2 linked regions of the Callithrix jacchus genome follow. The protein of the gene in region 1 interacts with the protein of each later gene in a pairwise test. Links are inferred from orthologs where the notes say so. Each region holds a gene or a part of one and is shown on either strand. Other genes may lie near its edges.

Region 1 (4,372 bases):
CAAAAAAACAAAACAAAACAAGAATTTATACTTGAAAATAAGTAGTGGGTGCTGGAAGTGGTAGCTCATTCCTGATACCCCAGCACTTTGGGAGGCTGAAGTGGACAGATCACCTGAGATCAGGAGTTTGAGACCAGCCTGGCCAACACAGCAAAACCCCATCTCTACTAAACAAACAAAAATTAGCCAGATATGGTGACTAACACCTGTAATCCCAGCTACTTGGGAGGCTGAGGCATGAGAATCACTTGAACCGGAGAGGCAGAGGTTGCACTGAGCCAAGATCGTGCCATTGCACTCCAGCCTGGGTGACCAAGTGAGATCCTGTCTCAAAAAAAAAAAGTAAAATAAAAATAAAGTAGTGCATAAAAAACAAGTTTGATAAACCTAGCTTTCTCTCTAATAACATATTTCCTCTCTATAACATGCTAACAAAGATGTTTGCTGGAGAAAGTGCACAATGAGCTTTTATAGGGGGTTTTCTTTTTGGAGACAGTGTCTTGCTCTGTCACCCAGGCTGCAGTGCAGTGGCCTGATCATAGCTCACTAAAGCCTTTAACTCTGGGGCTCTAGTGATTCTCCCACCTCAGCCTCGCAGTACCTGGGACTACAGATGCGCGCCACCATGCCCAGATAATTTTTAAATTTTTTGTAGAGGTGGGGTCTCGCTATGTTGTTCAGGCTAGTCTCAAAATCCTGGGCTCAAGTGATCCGCCCGCCTCGGCCTCCCAAAGTGCTGGGATTACAGGCTACAGCCACCTACCCAGCCATGAGCTTTTGATTCTAACCTGCGACCCTGGGAGAAGGGGAAATTTAGCAGAAGGCAGGGGAACACAAGCCACAGTGCCGCTTTCTTGTTTGGTCAAATTGTGTGCAGATTGGAAAATAACACGCATCTACCTCTCAACTTTATCTCTCTCTCATCTACTTGCCCTTGTCGTCTGTATGTGGCACTTCTGCGATTCTGGCGACTTTGTTATGGGTCAGTTGGAGCACACCCGTTGCACAGAACACATCTAAGCGCTTTGTCTCTTGGAGAGGTCCCTCCCTTGAACTTGCACTATCGAAAGCTCTTAACTAAAAAACTGGTATTGCACGCCTGTGTGCAAAGTGCTTGGTGTGAACACAGCCCACGGTTTCATGCAAATCCCTCTTCAGTCACTCAGGAGCGCGGGCCAAGATCGAGGGCGACGGTGCGCTGGGCCCCGGGGCCAGCTCTGCTCTGTCTTCCCGGGCTCAAGGCAAGACCCTCCCACCCGCCGGCCGGAGGAAGCGAGAAGACCCCAGCCCGCGGGATCCGGGTCCTGCGCGCTCGAGGCTGGCGGGCGACGTAGTGGCGCAACCCACCCCGCCCCGACGTACGCCGCGGAGGCGCGCGCGCACGCAGGCGCGGGGGCGCGCAGGGCCGGGCCGGCACGGCGGCGGGCGCGCGCGCGGCTCGGGGAGGCGGCGGCGGCGGCGGAAGCGGCGAGGGCGGCGGGCGTCCGGCTCTGAGGTGGTGGAGGCGGCGGCGGTTGCTCGGGACTGGGCTCGGCTGGGAGGAGCGAGGGTCAGGGCGCCGCAGCGAGCGCCGATCTCCCGGCTCTACCATCCGCCAGCTGCCCAGACGCCTGGGCCGGGGAGTTTGTGTCCCGGCTCGGACCCCGGCGCCCAGCCCGGAGCCGTAACCTTGAGGCGGCGGCGGCGGGGCCGGGCCGGGCCGGGCCGGGGGGCGGCGGCGCTGGATCCGCGGCTGCCCGATCGTTGGCGGGAGATGTCGAACCCCGGGACGCGCAGGAACGGCTCCAGCATCAAGATCCGTCTGACAGGTACGGCCGGCAGGAGGTCCACCCGCGCTCCGGCGCCCCCTCGCCCGCCCGGGAATTCCCCGCAGGGCGCCCTTGGAAGCGGCCCTCCCCCACGCCGGCCGTAGTCCCAGGACCTCGTCACCCCCTTCGACGTGCGCCCCTCGCTTCTCCCTCCCGGCCCCGCCCCCTCGCCGCTGCCCGGCCCCGCCCCCTGGCCGCTCGCTCCCCCTCGGTCTCCGGTTTCCTCCCGTTCCCCCGCACCTGCCCACTCGCGTCTCCATCCTGGCCCCGCCCCTCTCATTTTCATTCCTGGCCCCGCCCCTCACTTTTCCTTTCTTGGCCCCGCCCCTTGCATCTCCTTCCAGGTCCTATCCCCTCACCTCTCCCCGACTCGGCCCCTAGCCTCTCGCTTCCCTGTCTCTTCCAGGCCCCGCCCCGTTGCCTTTCACCTCCATCCCCAGTGGTCTTCTCGCTTCCTCCCTTTCCCCCCACCCCGGCACCTGACCTCTCACTTCTCCCTGTCCCGCCCACTCGCTTCTCCCAGGCCCCGCCCCCGCGCCTCTCTCTCTCTTTCTCTCTCTCTCTCTCTCTCTCTCTGACCCGCCCCCTCACTTCTCCTTGGCTCCGGCTCCCTCGCTTCTCCCTGGCCCCTGCTCTCTTGCTTCTCTCTGGTCCCGCCTCCTTACTTCTCCCTGGCCCCGCCCCCTCACTTCTTCCTGGTCCCGCCTCCTCACTTCTTTCCTAGCTTCAGTCCTCACTTCTCCCTGGTCCCGCCCCCTCGCTTCTCCTTTTTTTTTCCTCCTCTGCCGTTTTTACCTCCTCTATCCTCCTCGATTCCCATTATCTCCGCCTACCTGCCCCCTCGCTTTTTCCTCCTGGCCTCGCCTGTGTTCCCTTGGTCTCATTCTTCGCTTCTCACCACCTTCCCATCCTCTCTCTTGCTTTCCTGTGTCCCCTCCCACTTGCTTCCTCTCTGGTCCCTCCCACCCACTTCTCCCCCACCTCCATCCTCTCTTGCTACCTCCCCTTCCACTTGCCCACTTGCTTCTCCCCTCCTGCTCTCACCCACACGCTTCTGAACCCCTCAATCTTTCGTTTCTACCTCTCCCCTACCGTCCTTCTTTCTTCCCCTGGCCCCGCCCCTCACTTTAGTCCCCGCCCACATTCCTACCTTGCCCCGCCCCCACGTGCTGTCTGACTGGGCCTCCACCCTTTCTTTCCTTCAGCCTCAAATTTCTCCATCCTATCTAGTAGCTGCTCTCAGCCCTGCTCTCTTCAATCCCCCCTGGTCCAGCCCTTTTCAGTCTCAGTCTGGGCCACTTCCTGTCTCTTAGGCCAGACCGCTAGCTACTCTTGACTCTTCTTAAATTCTTACCTTTTCTGCATTTCACTTCACTATCACCCCCACCCTCAGCACCCCTGAGCCCCAGTGAGACGCTGATCCCTACTCCCACACTCACTGGAGGCTTTGGAAGCTACCCACAGGCAGGCTCCTTCATTCATTTCGTCTTCAATGAAAAGCCTGTGTTTCCTGGGTGGCTCTGTAGTGCCACCTTCAAGAGTGAGCGCGACGCTCTGCCGTGGGCCTGCGACTTGGTGGCGCGGCTGTGTGTAGATGCCAACCTGTCTCCCCAGCGGGCTCCAGAGGTTCTGGACCAGGCTGCATCCTTGTCTTCTCTTGTTGACTCTCCTCGGTACTAGTCTCTTCCCAGTTTCAATTCATCCCTAAAGCAGGATGGCTGTGTTGCAAATGTGACTCTGCTCTAGGACTTTCCAAACTCAAGTATTTCCAGCTCTGGAAGAAAACTAAAAAGTTCATTCTAATCCTCGTCAGGGATTTTCCCCTGGATTTTTCTGTTCAGTGGCCCCGTCGGGTGAGAACTCCAAGTCCGGGTCTGGTCAGGTCCTTTCAAAGAGCATTTTGAATACTTTGTGGCAGATTCACAGCCATAAAGTCATCAGTAAAATTCATGCAAACAACAGGTAATTTTTTTCAAACAAAACTTTACTTTGAAGCCCATAGTTGTTGCACAGCCCAATTTTTGTCTTAAGAGAAGATTTTGTTTTTTTGTATAAAGATGTCAGATAATGATTTGGATTCAAACCCAGACCCTGGTTTTGTAACGTTAATAGGTAGTTCCCTCTGGGATCTTTGCTTCTGGGGAAATATGCTTCTTTACGTCAGGGCTGATAAGTAACACCTCTCACTTTGTAGATACAATGTAGATACATTGTTATTTATGTGATAACATAAAAGTAACATTTTCGAGATTGTAATACTTTGTAAAACTTTTAACTTGGTTCTGATTTACAACTTAGTGGTGATGGTGTACACATGCGATGTAATTGACATCAGATTGGTTTCAGTACCTTGTTAAAAGCGAAAGTAACTGATTTTGTGGGGTTTGTTAGAAATATAATGAACGTTTTATAAGATATAGGTTTTAATTGAAATGTTTATGATATATAGATATATAAATCAATCCTAGTTGCAAAGCCTAAGCCTATCTATCAAAGGGAGGACTTGGTTTGTCCTTCTCCCAAATTACTTTTGGATTCAGGAATTTAGATGTTATCCATGCAAG
Region 2 (3,803 bases), on another chromosome or scaffold:
GCTAGCCTCAGCCTGGGGATCCTGGGTCAGGAGGCCAAGCCTCTGGAAATCCTGCTGTTCTCTGCAGAGTGAGATACGTAAGTGTCTAATTCAACTATGCAAGCTGAACCAGGGGCAATTCTGTGAGAGGCCATAGGGCCACATGGCCAAGAAAACTAAGAAAAGCTGTCAGGCCAGGAGGAGCCTGCATCGCTGGGCTTCCTGATCCCTGCTTTCGCCTGTTCACATCCTCCAGGTGTGCCCACTGTCACCCTGCACAAGTGCCACCCACCACGCTCCCACACCGGGCCTCGTTCCCTGAGCCCTTGCAGATCTGGGGGCAGTGGGCACCTCTGCACAGCCTCCCTGGCCTGATGGACATGAGCTCTTTGTCTTGGGGGAAGGCATCTTCAAGACACTAACCTCCACTCTAGACCACACATAGGGAATTCTGTTAAGTGACAAAGTCTAGATGAGAGTTGGCCTCCAGCCCCGACCCACTGTCCTCCACATTGTGCTGTGCAAAGAAAGACCAGTGCTTGCCATCCCAGCACTCCCACCCAACACTACCCCTGGTTTCCAAGCATGACAGCTCAGAAAAAAAAGGCCTCCCTCCCAAGGACACATCCTTATGAGGACAGCTGATGCCCCGAGGTACCAGCAGCACGGTTGTAGGACATTCTGTTAGGCGAGGACCTCCCCACCTGCAGCTTCCCAGAAGGTGCCCCGCCTAAGGTGCATGAGTCCCTGGGAGGCAGGCTCTGCCTGGCCAGGGTCGGTCACTCACCTTCAGGCGCAGCGGCAAGTCCTCAGGGCTCTTCCCCGCCAGCTCGTCATCATCTTCGTCGTCCTGAAGGAACAGGCTGCTGGGGATGACGCCCTTGGCGTACTTCTTAGTGATCTCCACAAAGTCATCCAACGCGATGTAGTTCTTGGCTGAAGCATGAGAGAAAACAGCATGGGGGCCCCCCACTGCAGCCCCACTGCCACCCTCACACAGAGGATGGGCCGGGGACAGCGGAGTTGGAACAAACTAAGAAAGGAGCTGAACGGGTTCAGGTGGAGGAAATCTTTCCCTGGGTGGCCTGAGGGGTGAGGACCAGGCTGGGTGAGGAGGACGGGGCAGGTCTGCTAAGAGCCAGCCTCCATTTCCAGCCCCTGGGTGTGCTGTCCCCTCCCCAAGTGTCCGTTTCTGCTTAGCTCCTCATGCCTGGGGCCACTCACCCACACCTTTCAGCCCAGCCCACCTGCTAAGCCTTACAACCTGCATCTCCAGTGCATGCTCTCACCCTCCTCTGCCTCCAGCTGGCGTGGGGCTTCTTATAGCATAGGTGACACCCTGCCAACCACTCCATCTAACATGATCTGCACAGGGACTACTCTGCGCCCACCAACCCCTCCATTCAACATGATCTACCACATGATCTACCACCACGCCTACTGTGCCCCTGCTAACCCGTCCATCCAACATGATCTACCACATGCCTACTATGCGTCTGCTAACCCCTCCATCCAACGCAATCTGCCACACGCCTACTATGCGCCTGCTACCCCCTCCATCCAATGCAATCTGCCACATGCCTACTATGCACCTGCTACCTCTCCATCCAACATGATCTACCACACACCTACTATGCGCCTGCTAACCCCTCCATCCAACACGATCTGCCACACACCTACTATGCGCCTGCTAACACTTCTATCCAATGTGATCTGCCACACACCTACTATCCACCTGCCACACACCTACTAATGCACCTGCTACCCCCTCCAATCAACATGATCTGCCACACACCCACTATGCGCCTGCTAACCCCTCCATCCAACATGATCTACCACACACCTACTATGCGCCCGCTAACCCCTCCATCCAACATGATCTGCCACACACCCACTATGCGCCCGCTAACCCCTCCATCCAACATGATCTGCCACACACCTACTATGCGCCCGCTAACCCCTCCATCCAACATGATCTACTACATGCCTACTATGCGCCTGCTAACCCCTCCATCCAACATGATCTACTACATGCCTACTATGCGCCCGCTAACCCCTCCATCCAACACGATCTGCCACACACCTACTATGCGCCTGCTAACACTTCTATCCAATGTGATCTGCCACACACCTACTATCCACCTGCCACACACCTACTAATGCACCTGCTACCCCCTCCAATCAACATGATCTGCCACACACCCACTATGCGCCTGCTAACCCCTCCATCCAACATGATCTACCACACACCTACTATGCGCCCGCTAACCCCTCCATCCAACATGATCTGCCACACACCCACTATGCGCCCGCTAACCCCTCCATCCAACATGATCTGCCACACACCTACTATGCGCCCGCTAACCCCTCCATCCAACATGATCTACTACATGCCTACTATGCGCCCGCTAACCCCTCCATCCAACATGATCTACCACACACCTACTATGCGCCCGCTAACCCCTCCATCCAACATGATCTGCCACACACCTACTATGCGCCCGCTAACCCCTCCATCCAACATGATCTACTACATGCCTACTATGCGCCTGCTAACCCCTCCATCCAACATGATCTACTACATGCCTACTATGCGCCCGCTAACCCCTCCATCCAACATGATCTGCCACACACCTACTATGCGCCCGCTAACCCCTCCATCCAACATGATCTACTACATGCCTACTATGCGCCTGCTAACCCCTCCATCCAACATGATCTACTACATGCCTACTATGCGCCTGCTAACCCCTCCATCCAACATGATCTACTACATGCCTACTATGCGCCCACTAACCCCTCCATCCAACATGATCTGCCACACACCTACTATGCGCCCGCTAACCCCTCCATCCAACATGATCTGCCACACACCTACTATGCGCCCGCTAACCCCTCCATCCAACATGATCTGCCACACACCTACTATGCGCCCGCTAACCCCTCCATCCAACATGATCTGCCACACACCTACTATGCGCCCGCTAACCCCTCCATCCAACATGATCTGCCACACACCTACTATGCGCCCGCTAACCCCTCCATCCAACATGATCTACCACACACCTATGCGCCTGCTAACACTTCTATCCAACATGATCTACTACATGCCTACTATGCGCCCGCTAACCCCTCCATCCAACATGATCTGCCACACACCTACTATGCGCCCGCTAACCCCTCCATCCAACATGATCTGCCACACACCTACTATGCGCCCGCTAACCCCTCCATCCAACATGATCTACCACACACCTATGCGCCTGCTAACACTTCTATCCAACATGATCTACTACATGCCTACTATGCGCCCGCTAACCCCTCCATCCAACATGATCTGCCACACACCTACTATGCGCCCGCTAACCCCTCCATCCAACATGATCTGCCACACACCTACTATGCGCCCGCTAACCCCTCCATCCAACATGATCTACCACACACCTATGCGCCTGCTAACACTTCTATCCAACATGATCTACTACATGCCTACTATGCGCCCGCTAACCCCTCCATCCAACATGATCTGCCACACACCTACTATGCGCCCGCTAACCCCTCCATCCAACATGATCTACTACATGCCTACTATGCGCCTGCTAACACTTCTATCCAACATGATCTACTACATGCCTACTATGCGCCCGCTAACCCCTCCATCCAACACGATCTGCCACACACCTACTATGCGCCCGCTAACCCCTCCATCCAACATGATCTGCCACACACCTACTATGCGCCTGCTAACCCCTCCATCCAACATGATCTGCCACACGCCTACTATGTGCCCGCTAACCCCTCCATCCAACATGATCTACTACATG

The links.
Region 2: the proteins of SMURF1 (region 1) and WFS1 interact in binary tests that used the Homo sapiens proteins (3 or more experiments, as listed by UniProt). The link is inferred for Callithrix jacchus from reciprocal best matches to the Homo sapiens genes SMURF1 and WFS1.

The regions. Positions count from the first base shown.
Region 1 is NC_133503.1:14,452,570-14,456,941, forward strand, and holds the start of SMURF1 (E3 ubiquitin-protein ligase SMURF1), read left to right. Parts: upstream 1-1,440; 5' UTR 1,441-1,753; coding exon 1,754-1,808; intron 1,809-3,659; exon of another isoform or gene 3,660-3,757; coding exon of another isoform or gene 3,758-3,770; intron 3,771-4,372. UniProt on the Homo sapiens protein: E3 ubiquitin-protein ligase that acts as a negative regulator of BMP signaling pathway. Mediates ubiquitination and degradation of SMAD1 and SMAD5, 2 receptor-regulated SMADs specific for the BMP pathway.
Region 2 is NC_133504.1:186,512,996-186,516,798, reverse strand, and holds part of WFS1 (wolframin), read right to left. Parts: intron 916-3,803; coding exon 767-915; intron 1-766. UniProt on the Homo sapiens protein: Participates in the regulation of cellular Ca(2+) homeostasis, at least partly, by modulating the filling state of the endoplasmic reticulum Ca(2+) store.